Linked DNA regions of Lytechinus pictus. The protein of the gene in region 1 purifies or fractionates together with the protein of each later gene. This does not show direct contact. Links are inferred from orthologs where the notes say so. Each region holds a gene or a part of one and is shown in the gene's direction. Other genes may lie near its edges.

Region 1 (10,870 bases):
AAGCCCCTTTAACTGACAAAACTTAATGAAAAAAATCCTGGTGATGTCTGGTGTTAACATTAATTTGTTTCATGTTATGTCATCAGATCTAGCTGGCACAATAAAAAAAAAGGCAAGTTACCGTTAAACGGTTGTGCTTACCATGGGTTAAAATGTTAATTTGGGTAGCAGAGTTGTTTCAAAATTTTTAATCTGTTTTATTTCCACTGACTAAAAAAGCCAAAGAAAAGTATTAGAAAAGAATGAGTACTATACTTTATGTTTAGTATACCTTTTGATGAAGCAATTGAACATTTATGTGTGTTGAGGTACATACATGTGTATTACAGTGATCATATGCTAATTATCAGATGCAGGTAGGTGTTTCATAAAGCTGTTTGTAAGATACGAGTGACTTTACGAACAACTCACTTAATTACCCTTTCGTAGGCGCTGAATTAACTTCAATGAAAATTTTGTGTATATCACTTATCACAAAAAAAATAATCACCAGTCGTTCATAAAATTGCTCGTAACGTACAAACAGCTTTATGAAACACCCACCTGGAATGTTTCCATAAATCTATGTGAACGTGTAGTCATGTACTACAATCCCTTTATTTCTTGGCAATATTGTTAAAGAGTGAAATTAATCAATTTGATATATATAAACCCATTTTGTTTCGAACAATCAAATTGTCATGGTAATGATGTGGTAATGGTTTAAGATTCATTTGAAGCTACAGAGTGTATTGTATAATCTTGCACTTGACAAGAAAATGATCATTAAAGGACAAGTCCACCCCAACAAACAATTGATTTGAATAAAAAGAGAAAAATTCAACAAGCATAACACTGAAAATTTCATCAAAATCGGATGTAAAATAAGAAAGTTATGACATTTTAAATTTTCGCTTCATTTCACAAAACAGTTATATGCACATCTCGGTCGGTATGCAAATGAGGGAGCTGATGACATCACTCACTCACTATTTCTTTTGTATTCTATTATATGAAATATGAAATATTTTGATTTTCTCGTCATTGTCATGTGAAATGAAGTTTCATTCCTCACTGAACACGTGGAATTCCATTATTTTAACATTTTGTGCTTCAGGCAAGGAGGTCCTAATCGTCAAATTCGTAAAAATTGAAATATTGTATCATTCAAACAATAAAAAACAAAAGAAATAGTGAGTGAGTGACATCATAGACTCTCTCATTTAGATGTAACTGGCTCGTTCATATAACTATTTTGTTAAAAATAAGCGAAACTTTGAAATGTCATAACTTTCTTATTTTACATCCGATTTTGATGAAATTTTTAGCATTGTGCTTGTCTGATTTTGCTCTATTGATTCAAATCAACATTTTTCTGAGGTGGACTTGACCTTTAAACACAGATAAACAACCCAAAACATAAACAGCCATACCATGAGGTAGATAAGTCTCTGCTTTATACAATAATTTTACATTATTACAGAGCTAAATATAGTTTAAAGCATAGAGAGGGGTGGATAGAGAGAGAAAGAGGGAGGGAGAAAGCAATTGTAGACTTGTTACAAAAGTAAAAATTCAACTTACATGCATGTGTCAGAGAAAAATAAGTATATATAAATATACAGGTGCAATGACTGACTATTGTATTGATGTCAACTAGGAAATGTTCTCTGAATCAGTTTGTTTACTCCAGTTATAGGATTTACTTACTGATGATGATATTTCTTAAGGGTCTAAGGTGATGATGATGCTCAATGATGCTAATGGTAAAGTTTAGATTTAAAGTCAAGAATCTGCAGTCATTATGAGGACAACTGCATTTACTTTTGTGTGTTGTTTGTATTTTCAATGTTTAGTATACTATTCTAATGAGCACTCAAGGGAGGTATGAGTTGAAATTTTGAATAGATTCAGCGGAATTGATTTATTATGCAAATTATTTCCATGATCCCAGAGATCTGATGTGTTGCATATAATTATACTGGTTAAAAGTTGAACACCTAATCTATCAAAAGTATTTAAGTGCTCTACAATATGTTGAATAATAATGATATAATTGTTTATGATTATATAGCACTTAACATTTACATGTTATCAGAAGTCATACTGCTAGGCTTGGCAGAACAGCTGTGGTCAACCAAAATGTTTTTAGAATTCTGATAACCAAAATTGATGTAAAAAGTCATTGCAGACGGATAAAGATTAGCAAATGGTTAGGATGTAGACCTTGTAAATGCATGTCTGATATTCCTACCTGTCCTATATTGTGTGTCACAGTATTGTATTTAATCATTTATTTTTTTCTATTTCTATTTTCGTTCATTTGATTTTATTGTAAATCTGAATTTTGTAAGCTACCTAAATAAAATGTAGGTGATTTCCTCACTTTCACTTACATCCTTCAAATCAATGATGATGATGATAATAATCATTTGAATAAATTATTAAATTAATATCAATTTACTTCTTGTGGTTATTTTTTTTGTTCAAAGCATACAACTGAAATCACAAAAAGCCAAATTATAAGCTTTGGATTTACTCTGCGCCTATTCCAAGCCAACTCCGAACATGTTTTCTTAGTTTAATACAATTTGAGCGAAGTAACCATTTTCTTGAGTTTTGAATTGAATCCTCTGATTAGATCATCAAAATATATGTTAATTCCTTATCTGAAAATGAATAGTGATCCCTATAGTTTCCCTCTTCTTGTATTTATTGAAAGCTACAGCAGATGTATTACCCTTCTTTTCAGATGTCATTATTACCAATAAATTCTGTTTATATGAGTGCTATGATGAATTTTTGTCATTTTCTCAAAGCAGGAAGTGGTTGCAATGAATATCGGCCTTTATTCAAATTATGAATGGTGAAATTGAAATTATGAATAGGTGGTATTTAAAAATGATCTTGCCCAAATCATGGATTGTTAGCAGAAAACGTCCGTATACTTTGCCGCCTTTGAATCTGAATTTATAGTGTGTACCCTCACAAAATATTTTGTTCAAACTTTGCCCCCACCCTGCCCCCCCAAAAAAAAAAATATATATAATCTCAAGATGTTAGTTGCGGAATGTCCTCTTCAGGCGTTTACTTTCGGAATTCAATCTCCTATAGAATGGAGAGTCATATGGAAAAGCCGGTCATCAACTTCTTTGTCAATTTTGTTCCTGTAGATGATAGGCCCCATGATAATGCCTACACGTACACTGTAAAACATATTTGGTAAAATTTTAACCAGCACGAGGGTAATTACATGTATGTGTCCAATACATTTGGGGCAGTATTTTACCCAATGCGGGAAGCATATTGTCCAGTAAGGTTTAAAAAATAAGCAGCAATTACTTTAGAATGGGCAAAATTTCATCACACTGGATAAATGAAAATGCCCAAAAGAAATGCACAATGTTGGTTAGACGCATAATTGCCCTCATGGAGCATTTCCGTTTACCCAATATTTTTTTATAGTGTACAGTCATGGGGAGAAGATAGGCCGCCGACCACACCTTTTAGTGAAATAAAAGGAAGAAAATAAAGCTATAAGAGTATAGACATGAGAGAGCTATGTCATCATTATAATACTCCCTATAGTTGCGAAAAATAGGCTTCATAACAAGATCGTCTGCCCCCCCCCCCCCCCCGGGGGGGAGGGGGGCAGTCAAATGTATTGCTGTACACATGCGTGACCAAATTATTTCCAAACATCCCCTAAACGTATTTTTCTCTGTGTGCTTAATAACCCCTAAACAAATTTTTCGCAGGCTTTATTTACACATTTTGGCCCCTAAACAAGTTGTCGCCAGAATATGACCCCTCAACAAGTTTTGTATACAATCGAGAAGAATCCGAACACTTTTCAGAAACGAGGAGGAAAAAGCCCAGGGGGAAAAAACATACCCTGCATGAATCACGTGATTGACAATTATTTACCAGTCTAAAACCACCCTTTTTCTTGAAAATCTTTGTTTTTATTACCCTTAAAGGGATGGTCCGGGCTGTAAGTATGTATAGCTTAATAAATAGAGTATAATTCACTGAGCAAAATGCCGAAAATTTCATCAAAATCGGATAACAAATAACAAAGTTATTGAATTTTAAAGTTTAGCAATATTTTGTGAAAACAGTCGTCATGAATATTCAATAGGTGGGCTGATGATGTCACATCTCCTCTTGTTCTTTTGTATTTTATTATATGAAATTAGGTTTATTCAAATTTTTCCTCCAAGAACTAGAAAAAATGGATTGACAACTGATTTAGTGCATCATATATTTATTGCTGCAACTTATTTCATTATAAGGGAGACATATTATTCACACAAGTATGAAATAATGAAAAAAAAAAGATTTTATGTAATAACATAAGAAAACAGAAAGTGGAGATGTGACATCATCAGCCCACCTAATGAATATTCATGACGACTGTTTTCACAAAATATTGCTAAACTTTAAACTTCAATAACATGATTATTTGTTATCCGATTTTGATGAAAATTTCGGCATTTTGCTCAGTGAATTCTACTTTATGTATTATATAAATATTTTCAGCCCGGACCATCTCTTTAACGAGAGCACGCGCGGCCCGCGTCCAAAAGTGATTGAAATAACAAAATAACATGACTTAATAAATACGTCATCCCTATATAACCCAAAGGTGTATATAAAATATTTTCTTGGCCTAAGACAAATGTTTTCAATATCTCTAAAAATAGACAAACTAAATTATTCTGCATGATAGAAAGGAAATCCTCTATATATATGTTTGTTATTAAAATGACTTCATTACAAGTATATACCTTTATATTTTTTTATTGTTATACAGATCATTGTCTCAAGCCTCTGATTCGATATCCACGCTTTCATAGCTCTAAATAAAATGGCGATAAAGACATTTTTAACTGTCGCCATATCATATTTGCAAAGGAGAAAAAAGAATTTTCCGGGGAATATTCCTCTGATATGTTGAGTACAATAATAAAAATACAATTTCAGTTTCATTTGTTGATTCCCAATAATAATAACTAGTTTGACCCACATGATTCTCTGAACTTTGATAGTCAAGATCAAGACACATCGTAGTTCGCTTGATTAACTGTGCATTTTCCTCTCCATAAAAAAAAAATCATAGAACAATTTATTAAGTTCCTGACATATCAAATGCGGAATTGAATCATGTGGTCATGTGGACGCTTATAAATATCTGGCTTGTTTGAAAGTTTTTAACAATAATGTATTTTATCCATTAAGGTTAAGTCTCTTTATATCTCTAGAATTCATACTCTGTTTTACCTGTATGTCTAAGCTAAAAACTACCCCTAATATTTTTATAAATGGTAAGTTTTTCGTTATAATACCCCCCCCCCCCCCCTTCTCTGGGCCTCTTCCACCGCCCCGAATCCTCGATCCCGACTCTCTCATGTTTACAGTGATACGCTAGCGCTCGCCGTACAAGTGCGTCTTTGATGGCACGGAGGTTGGCAGCAGAAAATCTTAGAAACATACACGCATTGACCCAAATAGCTCCGCGTGTGCTGCTCGCAGACGTACTCATTGCGCTATTTTTTTACTTTAATTTAAAAAGCGTGTATGCTAAATGCGTGTATACTAAACAATGGCATCTTGGAGAAACTCTTAAACGAAAACTTCCGTGAGTATAAATACGGTTCTTGATATCATGTGCATAGAGAAATTAATACTTGTATTACTATGATTGCTTTCCTACGGATTCCTTTGATTAAAAATCCCAATAATTCACCTAAATCATTTGTAATACATTGTTTTCTCCCTTGCCTTCTCAGCTAGCAGCTCAGTGACGCCTTGGCTTGACTTTCGTTGGGACATCGCGAACAACCAGCGCTCTGCCCAGGGACGCGACGCCGATGTAGCACTGTAGCAGGCCGGCTCAGCTCACCTGTCCGTATCCTGCTACTGCTAGATAATCCAATCGAAAACGAAAAACATTTGTTAGGGGTGACATCTTCCCGCTTCTGATTGTAAAATCTCAGCATATTCGAAAATGTCAGGTGTTGAACTTAAGCCTATCAAAGAAGCAGGTGGAGCAAACATCCTTCTTCCATTAGGGAAAACAAACTTGGGAAGGGGTTCTTTCTTTGAGGTGAGTTTGACTGTCTACTTCTGTTACTTTTAATGTTACCTAGTCTTAGACTAAAAATTATAATGTTTAAAGCACTGGTGGATCCAGGGGAGCACATCCGGCCCGTGCCCCCCCCCCTTTGAGAAGCACAATTAAAACTTGTAAAAAATGCTGTTAAAACATACCGGTAAGTGTGCCCTTCAAAAGTGAAGACCTTTTGTTTTCTTTTTCTTTTTTTGCTTGTCAATTTTTTTCTTGGATGAAATCTACTATTTTTGGTTGAAACCTTTTTTTTTTTTGGTTATCAAATTTTTCCTTGGGAAAATGTGCCCCCCCCCCTTTCGAAAAATTCTGGATCCGCCCCTGGTTTAAAGTTAGATTTAAAATTAAATTAACAGTTCAGAGCCAGCGGCAGTGCAATTTTAATCTGAATCTGAAATTAAAATATTTTTTGCAGTTACATCTTATGGAGACTACTTCCCAGTTACCCCCATTCATATTTAGGATTAATCAAAAGAAGATGTCTGTCTCATCTTATTACCTTTATCAGCTCCAATTCAACTGACCTTTGCTGTAATTTGTATTGAAACTTGTTAATGAAAATAATTGTGAACGTGCAAAAAGGGATAAGATGGAGGAAAATGGAAATTGAAATAACTCCCCCCCCCCTGCTATGGACATGCCTGCTGTCTATGTGGTATTCTTTGATCCTTTTCCTTTTTCAAACATTTAATATTCTCCTTTCATTTCTGCTTTTGAAGTTTTATAAAAACAACTTGAGCTTGGTGTCAATAGATTAGACTGAATACTTCAGTGTCTGTTTCGCGGATTGTTCTGCTCCTTAGGCTGCAGTCATTCTTACACTCTTAACATCGAACCTATGCCCCCAAAAATCATGATTTCATTTTTTAACCATTAATATAACATGTTTCATCATAATATAGGTTTATGAAGGATTTAAATTTTGCAAATAATCTTAATCTATTCATCAACACCATCATGTTGCAATTTCATAGAGTTTAATATAAGAATCATTAAAATAATCAACACTCCCATTGTGGGGTGAATAATACTTGGGCATTGGTCCCTTACACTGAGCGAGAGCCGAGATGGCTGGCTATCATTGTAAGTGGAGAAAACAAAGCAGTAAAAAATGTTTTACAAATCCAAATAGACAGATTTCAGAGTCCAACCTAGGGGTAGATATCCCTTTTTAATGTACTCCAATATATTTTAGAGAAATTGAGAAGCAATCAAAGTCTAAAATCTATTTCATCTAGTTCAATATTCATTTTAAAATGGAACCCAATGCTACATTCTGTTTGAGCTCTTGAATAACTTATTGTTATGCCAAACTTTTTTTCTGATTAGAATAACCTGGTAGTGCATATTGCCCTTATAATTTTTAATCTAATAATGCACAAAGGTTTCACTGTTCTCTGGTATTGACCTTTTACATTTGCAGATCGCTGATAAACGAGTCTCTAGAAATCATGCTGTTCTTGAAGTGGAAGATGGGAAGATCAGAGTCATGCCAGTAAGTTGGGGTGTATGATTTTGGGATTGTTAAAGCTTTCAGTTTTAGAGTTAATAATCATCCTGATTGATTAAAAAAAATGTATTTTGAAGAGAAAATCTGAGTTGCAGTTTGTGGCACTTTGAAAACTTGATGAACATATTTTTTGTCACATGTGAAGTTTCATATTAGAGTTTCATTCTTTAAATGGGCAATTCCGTAAACTGATTAACCTTTTTGTACATCCGACCCCCATTTTTCTCCTGTCTTACTTCTCTTCATAACTAACCAAGTCATGATCATTTGAGAGCATTACAGACTGTCAAAAGAACCAGAAATCAGAAACAGAAAATTTCCTGTTGGTCTCACATATATGGTGTTGGACGTACATATTTTATGGAATTGCCCAAATGCTTTCAGATTGGAATAATGAGAATTTAGAAATGGCTGTAAGTTTTGTACATTTAGAAAGGTACATCAGGTTCAGTTCTGGATGCAGGATGCCCTGACTCTTTATGCTGGTATGAGTATGAAGTTGCAGAAGTGGGGAACAATCTGGGTCATATTCAGGGTTAATTTGTGACTTGTATGCATACCCATGTTCTTGTTTTGTATACAGTGAAATCCCTTTTAAATGGTAAAGTGAATTGATTTATTATTAATTGAATAATGAGACATTCTCACAATCGATATATATTTGTATAAATAAAAATTTGCCCAATTGCTTTGAACATTATTTTTCTCCCTGAAAACCACATGATCAGAACTGAATTTCTGAATTTTATTGGAAGTTTAAAAGAATGTCCAACTTTTGAGCTTGTTCTTAGGAGATATTTGGCCAAGTTTATATCTTTCTGTATATCTGATTTCAAGAAAACTTACCGGTAGTCTTAGACCTTACAGCAGTAAATGAATTGTCGAGTCTACAATTATAGGATTACCTGAGCATGTTTGTTAGGGTATCAACAAGATGCTCATTATTAACAACAATCTAAATGTTGTCATGTGTGTTATTTCTATAGATACATACGAACCCTACATTCTTTGATGGCGCAGGAGGAACTAAATTGGCACCTTTAACTAAAGACGTATGGCGAGACCTCAAACATGGAGACCGTATTGCTCTGACACCCGATGAACACATCTTTGAAGTTGTTATTGATTACAGACCTATTGTGCAAGAAACCCAGAGTCCAAGGTAAGAAAACAATTATACAGCACTGTAATGCAACTAAGATTGTTCACAAATTTATAGAATTATGCAATTGGATAACATTCAAATGTCAAATGATTAGGTTTTCTAAATAATATGCCTCCTAGTAGTATTTTAACCATTCTTCGACTAAAAGGGAATCTAATCCATATTGAAAGATTTATTAAATGAGAAAGAAAAGTATGAAAAGCAAAATGGTGAAAGTTTGAAGAAAATTCAGGTGAAAACAATAAAAATGTTTGTTGTTATGAGGTTATCACTGTACAGCAATATCTTATATCGTTTTGTACTACTTCAAGGGAAAAGGTGTTAAAGAAGACAATGGGAGTTTTGTCCTTAAGGCCCCCATTTCCACAGAGGGGATACCTTTGAAGGACCTTTGAAATACCAAAATTTGGCTACATGTAGGTCTTACAGCAGTCTCCAAGACCATTGAAATTTGTCATCTCTGTGGAATGGCTCAGAAAGACCCCCCAAAGAACTCTTAAAGACTGATGGATATTTCTTTCAATGGTCTTTCAGAGATCTTGTATGCAACAAGTGATCTTTCAGAATTCTTTCCATGGACTTTTCCTTGTCTTTCAATGATCTTTCACAGATCTTTCAATGATCTCTCATGAGTCTTACAGTGATCTCCGTAAAAATCTTGAGGGAATGTCGAAAGATCATGGAAAGACTACAGAACTTTGAAAGTTCTTCGAAAGACCGCTGAAAGACTATTTTGAACCGTTTCAAAAAGTTTTGGGACTCACGAGGACCACGAAGACCATTGACAGATCCATCAGAAATCGTCAAAGAACTCAGAGATCTTTGAAAGTTCATTGAAGGACCCTTGAAAGATCAAGCAAGTTTCATGATCTTACAGCAGTCTTTCAGAGGTTTTGCTGTATGTGGAATGGGGGTTTAAGAATCTTCTTATTCTGCTGACAAAGTTTCCAGTTTTTGTCTCGCGTGCGAAGCAGAGTGAGACTATAGGCGCCACTTTTCCGACGGCGGCAGCGTCAACACCAAATCTTAACCGAAGTTTAAGTTTTTGAAATGACAGCATAACTTAGAAAGTATATGGACCTAGTTCATGATACTTGGCCATAAGGTTAATAAAGTATTACTAAACATCCTGCTTGAGTTTCAGGTCACATGACCAAGGTCAAAGGTCATTTAGGGTCAATGAACTTAAACCATGTTGGGGGAATAAACATAAAAATCTTAAAATCTTAACCTGAGGTTAAGTTTTTGAAATGTCATCATAACTTAAAAAGTATATGGACCAAATTCATGAAACTGGGAAATAAGGTTAATCAAGTATTACTGAACATCCTGCCTGTGTTTCAAGTCACATGACCAAGGTCATTTAGGGTCAATGAACTTTGGCCAAGTTGGGGGTATCTGTTAAATTACCATCATAACTTAAAAAGTTTATGGATCTGATTCATGAAACTTGGACAGGAGATTAATCAAGTATCACTGAACATCTTGTGCGAGTTTCAGGTCTCATGACTAAGGTCAAAGGTCATTTAAGGTCAATAAACTTTGGACATGTTGGGGATATTTGTTGAATTACCATCATAACTCTGTAAGTGTATTGGTCTACTTTATAGAACTTGAACATAAGAGTAATCAAGTATCACTGAACATAAGAGTAATCAACTTTCAGGTCACATGACCAAGGTCAATGGACTTTGGCCATGTTGGGGTATTTGTTTAATAACCATCATAACTATGAAAGCGTATGGATCTAGTTCATAAAACTTGGACATAAGAGTAATCATGAATAACTGAACATCTCATGCGAGTTCCAGGTCACATGACCAAAGTCAAAGGTCGTTTAAGGTCATTGAACGTTAGCCATTTTGGAGGTAATTATTAGATTGCTGTCATAACTTTCAAAGTTTATAGATATAGTTTATGAAATGTGGAGATAGGGGTAATCAAGTATCACTGACAAATCATAGGTCGCATGATAGAGGCCAAATGTCATTTATTGTCAATGAACGTAGTATTGTATCATTATATGAATGGTGTTTTTGTGAATAAATTATTGTATAGTAGTTTTCAAAATCAGCAATACTGCTAT
Region 2 (10,428 bases), on another chromosome or scaffold:
TCTTTTTGCTCATTCTAATCATATGACAAACGATTCATCAATGATATAATGTTGTGAAACATCTGTACTTGTCCTCTCATAAAGAGAACACCTCACCTTGTGATAGACTCTATAAAAGTGAGAATATAAGTGAAATAAGTACTAAAGTAATGAGGGAGTTGTACGTGTGTGACATCACAGATCTTGGTCGCATTGCCAATGGGAGGATCTACATGGCATAAGTGATCTCAATATCCAAATGCTCATAACTTTCTTATTATTCATGAATCTTCCTCAAACTTTCAACAATATGTTTCTTTGATTTTTCTCTTTGATATGGATTCAGCTGGTTTCAAGGCTTTCATTCTCCTTTAAATTATCCGCTTCTCAGATTGGAATATAAAAATTTTCAGCTCGCGTCATTTCTGTCAGTAGCAAAACCCCATACTTTTCATGATTAAATAGGTGAATAGAATGTCCCTTTTTCAGGACTAAACGTCAAAAGAACTCCCGCTTCGATTTGCAATAATCTTTTCCTGGATATAATCTTGTTCTTTATTATACAAACATCCATTAAACTGTCATTTTTTTTTCGCTTCGCACTCGCATCTATTGTTTTTTTTAGATACCCATCTTAATCATTGGTACCAAAAATGCATAGAATATCAAGCTTTCTGGTCAGAATATAAAGAAATTTCAGCTCGCCCTCGGCACTCGCATTATCTGTGTAGTGAGATATGTATATCCTCCTCATGAGTTACTACAAACAGTCCTAAACAGGCACCTTTTTCCTGTTTTCAGGTCAGTAAAAAATTTCAGCTCGCGCTTCGCGCTCGCATTAATTTGTTGGTGAGATATGTGTTTCTATCTCATGAGTCATATAAATATATATATATATGCATATGTGTGTGTGTGTTTGTGTGAATTTGTTTGTTTTGTGTGATATCGAGCGCCTTTGGAAAGTTGATTCATGATTTTGCCCCTCAAATCTTAAAAAAAGGATCGACGCCCCCGTGTATATATATATATATATATATATATATATACATATAGTAAAAAAGCTTGTATTTCTATTAATATACAAATGTATTGGCCTCATCGCAATAAAAGGGTTAATACACGAGATTTTGAAATCGCACATAACATGCATGATAATTTGTGTTACTTTTTGCTTGTTTCTTTCTTTAATTAAGTTTTTCAATCTCTCTCTATATAATTATGTTTTAGAAAGATTATATTTTTAAATTGATGTATATTTCTGTTATAATGAGATATGTTTAAGTGGAATTCAGGGAATGGTCGTACGCAGCAAGGGAGAAGGGGGGGAGGGCACATTCGCGATCTGCTGTTGTGAAAAACGATTTTTTTTTCCCCCTTAACATTTCATGAAAACTATGAAAAATGTGCAAATGTGAGATGTACGTGCACCAAATTTTCGAGTCTTGCCCCCCCCCCTGGAAATATTATCTGCGTATGGTCATGCAAAATGACATGACTGGAAATCCTATACATTTTGAAAAGAGCATTATTTTGACAGGGTCAGACTTTACCCCTTTCGGGCGCCGGTGAAGTGCGCCGCGCGCTCGGCATGCAGTGCGCCCCCCCCCCCTTTCGCCAAAAGCTGGATCCGCCTATGAATCTAACACTGATTCTAGGGAGGGCACCTACCCACTGGGCATTTTACCCGATATTACCCGGGTTGTAACAGGTAATAACGTAGTTATTACCACGGTAACACCAGTGGGTAGTAACGGGGAAATAGTAGACCAATCTTTCCCCGTTATTACCCGGACCCGATATTACTCAATTTACCCAATATTACCCAGTATGATGTAACCGATATTTCCAGTTATTTTAATGATATCACCACCTCATATTACTCTGTTTACCCAATATTACCCAATTAATGTCGGCTCATTAAAAAAACAATTAGTGTCATTAGGGTCATTGAAGCACATTTTTACAACTCCATACTCTAAGCCATATCATCTTATCCTATCCTAAAATCCTACATCCTAATCCTAATCCTATCCTACACCTATCCACCAAACCCTGTCATTTACTTCTATATATTGAGCGAGTTTACAACACTTGACAAATTATGGTTAACAATTATTCAACCCTAAAACATTTTTCTAAAATTAATGTCATGATTATGACTAATATGATATATAAACTACACATTTTTCTGAAAATTTTCTGGGTGGAATAATTGCATAAACATATTAATTATTACAGCTATATTAGCTAAAATTTTGGCCATTTATTGTAGTAATGAATATTCATGAGTAACTAATATTCCCAGCATTTTCCTGATTTTACCATCTGATATTACTCCATTTACCCAATATTAATGGGTTCCGCATGGGTTGGAGGTCTCGTTTCCATCTGAGTCCTATCTGGGCACCAGTGGCGTACCGTGGGTCACGGCATTGGGGGGGCACCAGCAAAAAATTAAGTCACTTAGTTGTCAGGTACTCTGACCTAATAGAGACATTTTGAGGAAGCACTTGTAGTCATTGTAATCATGAATAACATACGCATCTCAGCAATCAAATAATGCGAGCGCGAAGCGCGAGCTGAAAATTTTTGATATTCAGACCTAAAAAGGGACTTAACAATCGAATTTTTGTGATCATGATACGTACCTGTCTCGCTAAACAATGCGAGCGCGAAGCGCGAGCCGAAAATTTTTGTATATATTGATCACAAACAGGGAGATCTTAAGGACTATATTTTAGGAATCTCTTAATATTATACATATCTCACCATAGTCATCTAATGCGAGTGCCAAGCGCTTGCTGATTTTGTTAGAATTACATTTAAACACATATGAAACACTTGTAGTCATTGTAATAATGAATAACATAGGCATCTCACTAATCAAATATTGCGAGTGCGAAGCGCGAGCTAAAAAATTAGGAATTTCAAACATGAAGAGGGGCAATTTAAGGCTTGTTTGTAGGAATTAGCGAAACCATACGTACTTCAATAACCAAATGATGCGAGCGCGAAGCACGAGCTGAAATTTGTGTATATATTGACCCAAAACAGGATTTTTTTAAAGGAACCCATTAAGAGTATACATATTTCACTACAGTCATGTAATGCGAGTGCCAGGTGCTTGCTGATTTTGTTAGAATCACATCTGAACACATGAAGCACTTTTTGTAGTCAATGTAATCATGATTATCATACGCATCTCACTAATCAAATATTGCGAGCGCGAAGCGCGAGCTGAAAATTTAGATAATTCAGACCTGAAGCGGGGCAGTCTAAGGCTTGTTTGTAGGAATTCACGAAGACCATACGTATTTCACTAACCAACTGATGCGAGCGCGAAGCGCGAGCTGAAAATTTTGGATATTTAGACTCATGCAGAAAAAGGGATATTTCAAGGACTGATTTTAGGAATTCATGGAGAGCAGACATATCTCACCAATCCACTGAAGCGAACGTAATCACGGACAGGAAATGTTTTATATTAAGACCTTAACATGGGGCAATCACTTTAAGTAGTCATGAAAAAGAACCATATGTCACTATATAAAACAATAATATATTTGGTGTATATTGACTTGAAAACGGGAGGTTTTCGTACAACAGGTTTATATATCTCTTTAAACAGACAATGCGAGCACCAGGAACAGTGAAGACATGGACCCTGAGCAAATTATGTTTCATAAAGTTATGATAAAAATGTTTCCTATGTAAAATAACAACATGATTGTAATACAATATACAATTATAATGAATAATAATTTCTTCTTTCCCACTACGTTCCTCTTCCTTTCTCCCTCTTTTTCTCCTTTTCCCCGTTTTTTTTTTTTGTGTGTCAGCCGATTGGGGGGGGGGGGGGGCACGTGCCCCCCCATGCCCCCCCGTAGTTACGCCACTGTTGGGCACCATGTGGGTTCAAGTATATGTTTTCATCTGGGTTCCATGTGGGCCCATATGGGACCCAGATATCCCAGATAAGAACCGTATGTGATCCAGATACTTTGCTGTCTGGGAATGGAAGCGTTTCAACATTACCCATTACCCCTTATCAACCTGTTTGTAACTGGGTAAAATGTTGGTTTCATCAGGGTGATAACAGTAATTTTTTGGACTTTGAAAATTTCGCTGGGATTGCTGTAAGATTGCTCTTATTACTAAAGTTTGCAATGTTATAACCAATCAAAGTTTGTTGTTGTTGTTGTTATTTTAAATAGGCAAACTAGTCAGTTTTGACTATTGTTGCCTTGTAAATTTGCTTTCCCTTTTTTTTTCAAAAAGAATAATTTCTTTGTTCAATCTATATCAGTTAAAAAAAGTAAAGGAAAGATAGGAAAGAAAAGTTCCTAGGAAATCGTGCAAGACCACCTCATTCAACATTACCCTTATTACCCCTCATCACCCTGTTGTAACTAGGTAAATGTAGGTTTCATCAGGGTGATAATTACAGTAACAGGTATCAACAGGAATTATAATTTCGGTAATAACATGGTAATAATTAACGGTAATATTTGGTGTTACTCAAATTTCCGGGTGATATTACCGGTAAAATTGGTAATCGGTAACAAATTGCCCAGTGGGTAGTACTGAACTTCTTTTTTTCCAAATTGGAAAGATATATAACCACTATGGAACTAAATTTTTACGGGCGGAAGAATTAGGGCCATTTGACTCTCGATCTCAAGTGATGAATTTGATCCCGTAGATCTTCATAAATGCTGATTTATTTTTAAAATGAGCCGGTCGAGGTACCCTTTTCTGGTCAGATATGGAATGTCAGACATTTATCCTATCCACTGATAGTAAACATTCAACCCTCGAATTTCCTCCTTATTTTTAAGGAATTCTTTTTAGGTACCACTTTAACACACGAGTCTATGGGGATTGAATTAGGCCTGTGATACCTTATGCCTAGCCTATCCACCCGGCCTTGACTCGGCTCATGTGTTGCTTAAGCCCGCGGTGCTAAAGAAACTTGCATGCAATCAGTTGCAAATTTTTGCTGCTAAATTAATCTACAATTGATAATGATATTATTTTAACTACTTGTTAAAAGAAGGAGATCAGCAATCAAGTGTGGATTCGCAATAATTGCCAGATTTATTAATTGTGACTGATTTTCTAACCAAAATTTGACTAGTAATTGATTGCAATTGATTAATACAACTTCCATGCAACGCATGGTAAGGTCTCGACGTATATTGGCAATTCATACAACATAGTCTGCAGACACAAACCCTTTGATTTCACAATTCGCATAGTGCATATATGCAATATGCATAGTCTGAATTAGTGAGACTATATTCACTGAATACTATGGATGGCTCTACAAAGAGACAGAAAAAGAGTTTGAAGTTTATAGGCTTCACCTCAGCTTCACTCTAGACATGATTATTCAAATAGGAGTCTGTGTTTGCAGACTAAATGCAACACACGCAGCTGGCTGGTACACGCAAAGGGTACACGTCCAAACACCAACGCGAAAACGCATTTAGCGATTACGTTATTGTTTTGGGCATGATTGGACAAGTAGTGGTGTATCATCGCACCATGCATCATTGACTGAACTCTCGGAGTGAACTATAAATCTAACTGCTTTCCTGGAGTAAAGATCAGTTTTACATGGACTTCAGCCGTGCCGATTTCTGGAGTGTTCAGTGTTTTCCATCATTAATGTAAGGATTTTCCTCCTCAGAAAATGCAAGAGGTGAAGAGTGTGCTTTCTGATCTGGTACTCGGTGCTTGCCGCCTATGCAATAAAAAGTGGATGCCGGTTTAATTACCGGCATGTGCGATTTATTTTGCACGCAAGTGAATGGCCAATCTCACGTTTCCTTGAGCTTGAGTTGAGAGCTGAATGTTTAATGTTTTCAAAAACGGCATGAATGATTTTTTTTACTATATATTTTCAATATGTTTAAGTGTAATGCAAAGATGTGACTCTGACCGTGATATGGTGTTTGTATTTGTAATTGTATTGTAATTAAGAGTAGGCCTAGGGTGTCTGGAGAAAAATATTATTTTTCTTATTTCAAGAAAATATCACATTTTCTTTGTGAATTTGAAGAGAAATGACCTTCAGACTGACAGAAATGTAACATTTTTGAAAAAAATCTGATTATTGGCTGCAAAAAAGAAGAATGAAATTAGGTCAATTTTCAGCATTTCTCTGCCATACTGTGTAGTTAAGAAATGGACACACACAAATCCAAATTTTTAGCTTCCGAGAGCTGTTATAAATTTATTATTAATGCCAAAAACTTGTCCATAAAGAGTCCAATAGGATTTTTATGCTCTTTCTGATGGTATGATTTTTATAAAGATTTGGAAACCAGATCACAATGAAAAATTGCGACAAAGTGAAAAAATTGTGCAAAACAGAAATTTCATTTTCCCATAGAAAACGCATGGGGAAATGGCAATCTCAACACACACAAAAATAAGGGTTTGCAATTTATCTCTAAATCCTTATTCAAAATGATCATATAAACTTGTCCTTACTGTCAAAAGAAGCCCCTGAATTTTCTCTTTCCATACATGCCAAACACAAGTTAATAATCAATTCAGATCACATTTTTCTAGTAGCCTGAACTTCCCGAAAAAAATGTTCCATATTTTCCCCTAAATCAGCCTGTCTTATGCTGACACTTTTCAGTGTGGCTTCAGACACCCTATTAAGAGTTAAGACAGGGAGGCGGTGTAGCTCAGTCGGTTAGAGCGCCTGTTCCGGATAAGATCGTAGATCTCAACGTGCGTGGGTTCGAGTCCCGCAGCATGCCGGAAGACGTCTAACAAAAAAACTGATGCTAGCGTTGTGTGTTAACGTGCCTCGCCGCTGTGTTCAGTGCGGGTGTGAATGCAGTTGGAAAACACTCCGTCCATCGGAAAGGACGCAAATGTTGGTCCCGTGTATAGGAGAGTCACAACCTATGCACGTTAAAACCAATATACACTATTCGTCAAAGAGTAGGGTGTTCACCCGGTGTATTGCACCTGCCGGTCCCCGGTACTACAATACTGCAAGAATCTCCAGGATTGAAGGAGGCAGTGTAGCTTGAAGAAGAAGAAGAAGAAGACGACAAAAAAAGTGCCGGGCCGGCTGCAAAGAAAAGTCACACTCACAGCTGACATCGACAGAGTGCAGTGTAACTTTTGACTAACTTAGTATTAGATAAGTAATGTTGTTAAAATTGAGTTTGATCGATAGCATGCCAATTTCACTTTGAACACTGAATGAATGACTGATTAGTGTCTTTTTTAGTGATTACACGATCGCCATGAAAATTTGCAAGGGTGTAGATCTAATGTCGGATGTTGACTACAAAAAAGTACAAGAGTCAAGACAATGATAAATTTAAAAATAATTTTGTAAAAAATTGTATATTTTTTAATTAATTTTTTTTTAATTCTATGCAAATAAAAGCATATGAAAATCACATTTGCCTTTTTTAATTTTAGCTCACTTTAAATTTCTCATTTTGCTAGTAATACTAATTTTTGGTGAAAAAGATTAATTTTGACATTTAATATTTAACATAAGATAAAAAAAAATGACAACATAATTTCCTTTTAATTTCTTTTGTTCAAGTTCAATTTATTTATTTTCTCACCAATATAAAAAACAATATGCAAATATGTATAAAGAATGAAAATTACATGTATGAGAGAAAAACGGAAACTACTGAAAAGTTCATAAGAACTTGTGAGCTGTAGCTCCCAGTTAATTTCTTTTGTATTTCTTAACTTAGTTTTTAAAAGCTTACCAACAAAATAATTACCTAGCACATTTTCTACCTTTGAGTTCTCAACACTAAGTGTCTACTGAGCTGAGGAGGCTACTAGGGCATGAAACAGGCTCACAACGAACAACAACAACAAAAGATTGAAAGTGGGCGCAGTGACCATTAGTAGATAGAGACCAGTCCTAGGGCCTACATATAAAGTTCTTTATCTTTATTTTATTTCGGCATCTGGAATAATGCTGCCTGAGATACATCATCTACAGATATAGGCTATGACATCTACATGTACATATGTTTTTAACTTATGAATAAATATACATTGCAGGCTGTGAGATCTATATTTGTGAACTTACGCCTACTTTAGCGAAGACCATTATTTTTGCCTAATCTGCTTATAGACTAACCTATCCCCCCCACCAAAATAAAAAAATTACAAAATTACAAAAATTCACCATCTAACTTAGTAACATGTGTTTTTATTTCATGGCATTCACACGATAACAGTATTAGGACATAGTCCTACATATTCATAAATACATGTAGTAAACTGGAGGAACCAACACTTTCAAGAGAGTTTACCAAATAAAATGGGCTTTTATAGGAGAATAGGCATGTGTGTAATGGTGATGATTTATCATTTTGATAGGGAGTTGGAGGAATAAGAAGAAGGTTTGGTAACTATCTTATGTTTTTTATTTCTCTTTGATCACAGTGATATTCAGGTGATGTGGATCTATGAGATCTAAGGTTTACACCGCATTCCATCGTGGTTGGACTGCATTAAAAGGAGCTTCTGCAAGGCATGGTCAGCAACATCTAGTTTATCACACCTCGGTGTCATTCACTGTTGATCTTCAACTAACATATGACACTTGCTCCTGTAGACAACCTGAATTTCCAAAGTCCTATCGAAGCAGTGCACTTTCATTCAAATTCATAAGAGAAGCAGAACGAATCCTAGGTCTGATTGGTTCCTCTTCAAGGGTTAGTACTCTTTTGTCAAAGACAGCTTCAGGAATGGATGATGAGAAAGCCTTCATGGTTGACTATGCCCGCCTTGGGACATCAAAATGCAAGCGATGCAAGCAGGGGATCGAGAAGAAGTCACCCAGGATTGCCAAACTCACAGCAAATCCTTTCAGTGACGATGGGGGCATGATGAAGAACTATTTCCACATCAACTGTGTGTTTGAGACGTTTGTTCGGGCGAGGGCGACAACGAAGAAGATTGAGGATCCAAGCGACTTGGATGGTTTTGAGAAGATGGAGGACGAGGAGAAGAAATTAATCCGAAAGAACATAGAAGGTGAGAATGTCACGTTTACTTTGACATGTTTCTGAAATCTGAAAAATATAAGTTGTTCATACATGTAGTTAGTTACAGACATTGAATTTTTGTCAGCTACTTAAATGCGTTTTAGTTTATTCCCCCTTTTTTGCCTATTGCTTATATTATCTTCTGGCCGTTGAAACATCATCCCGCCATTTCCAGCACCTTTCATTATTGATCTTAATGAGAATGTTCAATGTATTTGTGCAGTTGAAACCTGAGAATATTTGTGAATTTGGAATCTGGCCATATTTCCTCATGTAGGCAGTCTTCCCCTCCCTTTGTCTTTGTTCTTCCTTTTCTCACTCATTGTCATTTTACTGTTTTCTTGTTTTCTTCTTCCTTTACCCTAGTTTCATGATTTTAATAAACAATCATTTAAATGTACTTTTTTTGTTTTCTGGATCTTTTCATACACAGAGCTATTGTCCAGAGTCAAAACGCCCAAGAAAACGCCAACCAAGAAGAAAGGCACAGTTCAAGGTGTCCTTACAACAGGCGGTCAAGTTTTATCCCCATCCAAACATCCAAAATCAAGTAAGTCTGTAAGGAAATGTGAAATGATTCTTACTAGATTCTGAAGAAGCAGGTCTTGTGAAAGCAATTTGTATAAGGGAGGAATGTTGGCTAGATATAAAAATATTTCAGTCACATAATGTAAAAAAATGGCTTTTAAGAGGGAAATGAAGAATATGGGCTGAAAGAAAAATCAGAAGATCTAGGTACCGGCATATTTAATGTTACCAAACAGGAAGTAATCCTTGAATGTTATCACAACATTCAAGGAAGTGTTTTTGAATTGGATTGAATTGCAAAATATGAATAATAGTCTTTGCATTGAAGCTAATTTGAACAAGCCCCTCCTGCAAGAATTTATCCCATCGATAAATGTGCTATCAGTGGTTGGTAAACTATTATTGCAACTACATTTGCAACAAAGCTGAACAGTCAGTCTAAATCAAGATTTCACTTGAAGATATTGTAAGTTATATGCTGATCTGTTTCTTGTTTGACAAATTTGAAGGACTTGATAGGCGAAAGGCCCAACTGCACAAGATGGGACGATTGAGGGTGAAGTTGTAGTGATGATGATTATGTTGATGGTGATGATGATGATGGTGATGGTGATGATGATGATGATGATGATGGTGATGATAAAGATAATCATGATTATGATTATGATAATAATCTGAACTCTTTCATCAATTCTTTTGTGATTACAGGTACTAGCCAGCCCGCATCCTCTCACCACACCTCATCGAGTTCTGCTGCAGCATCCTCCTCCTCTGCCACCCCATCACCAACCCCCTCCAAAATCTCTTACCAAGGGGACGGCAGTGACCCCCAACATCCAGACAATTCATTCCGAGAGTACCGCAA

Evidence for each region.
Region 2: the proteins of aprataxin and PNK-like factor (region 1) and DNA ligase 3-like purify together in Homo sapiens (affinity purification with mass spectrometry; 3 studies listed by BioGRID and IntAct, counting the BioPlex papers as one, with this or other methods). This does not show direct contact. The link is inferred for Lytechinus pictus from reciprocal best matches to the Homo sapiens genes APLF and LIG3.

What each region holds. Positions count from the first base shown.
Region 1 is NC_087251.1:25,300,711-25,311,580, forward strand, and holds the start of aprataxin and PNK-like factor, read left to right. Parts: upstream 1-5,395; 5' UTR 5,396-5,620; intron 5,621-5,771; 5' UTR 5,772-5,989; coding exon 5,990-6,088; intron 6,089-7,532; coding exon 7,533-7,604; intron 7,605-8,605; coding exon 8,606-8,781; intron 8,782-10,870. UniProt on the Homo sapiens protein: Histone chaperone involved in single-strand and double-strand DNA break repair.
Region 2 is NC_087258.1:1,784,699-1,795,126, forward strand, and holds the start of DNA ligase 3-like, read left to right. Parts: upstream 1-5,481; 5' UTR 5,482-5,651; exon of another isoform or gene 5,652-5,955; intron 5,956-7,036; exon of another isoform or gene 7,037-8,430; 5' UTR 8,431-8,453; coding exon 8,454-9,024; intron 9,025-9,468; coding exon 9,469-9,585; intron 9,586-10,271; coding exon 10,272-10,428. UniProt on the Homo sapiens protein: Isoform 3 functions as a heterodimer with DNA-repair protein XRCC1 in the nucleus and can correct defective DNA strand-break repair and sister chromatid exchange following treatment with ionizing radiation and alkylating agents.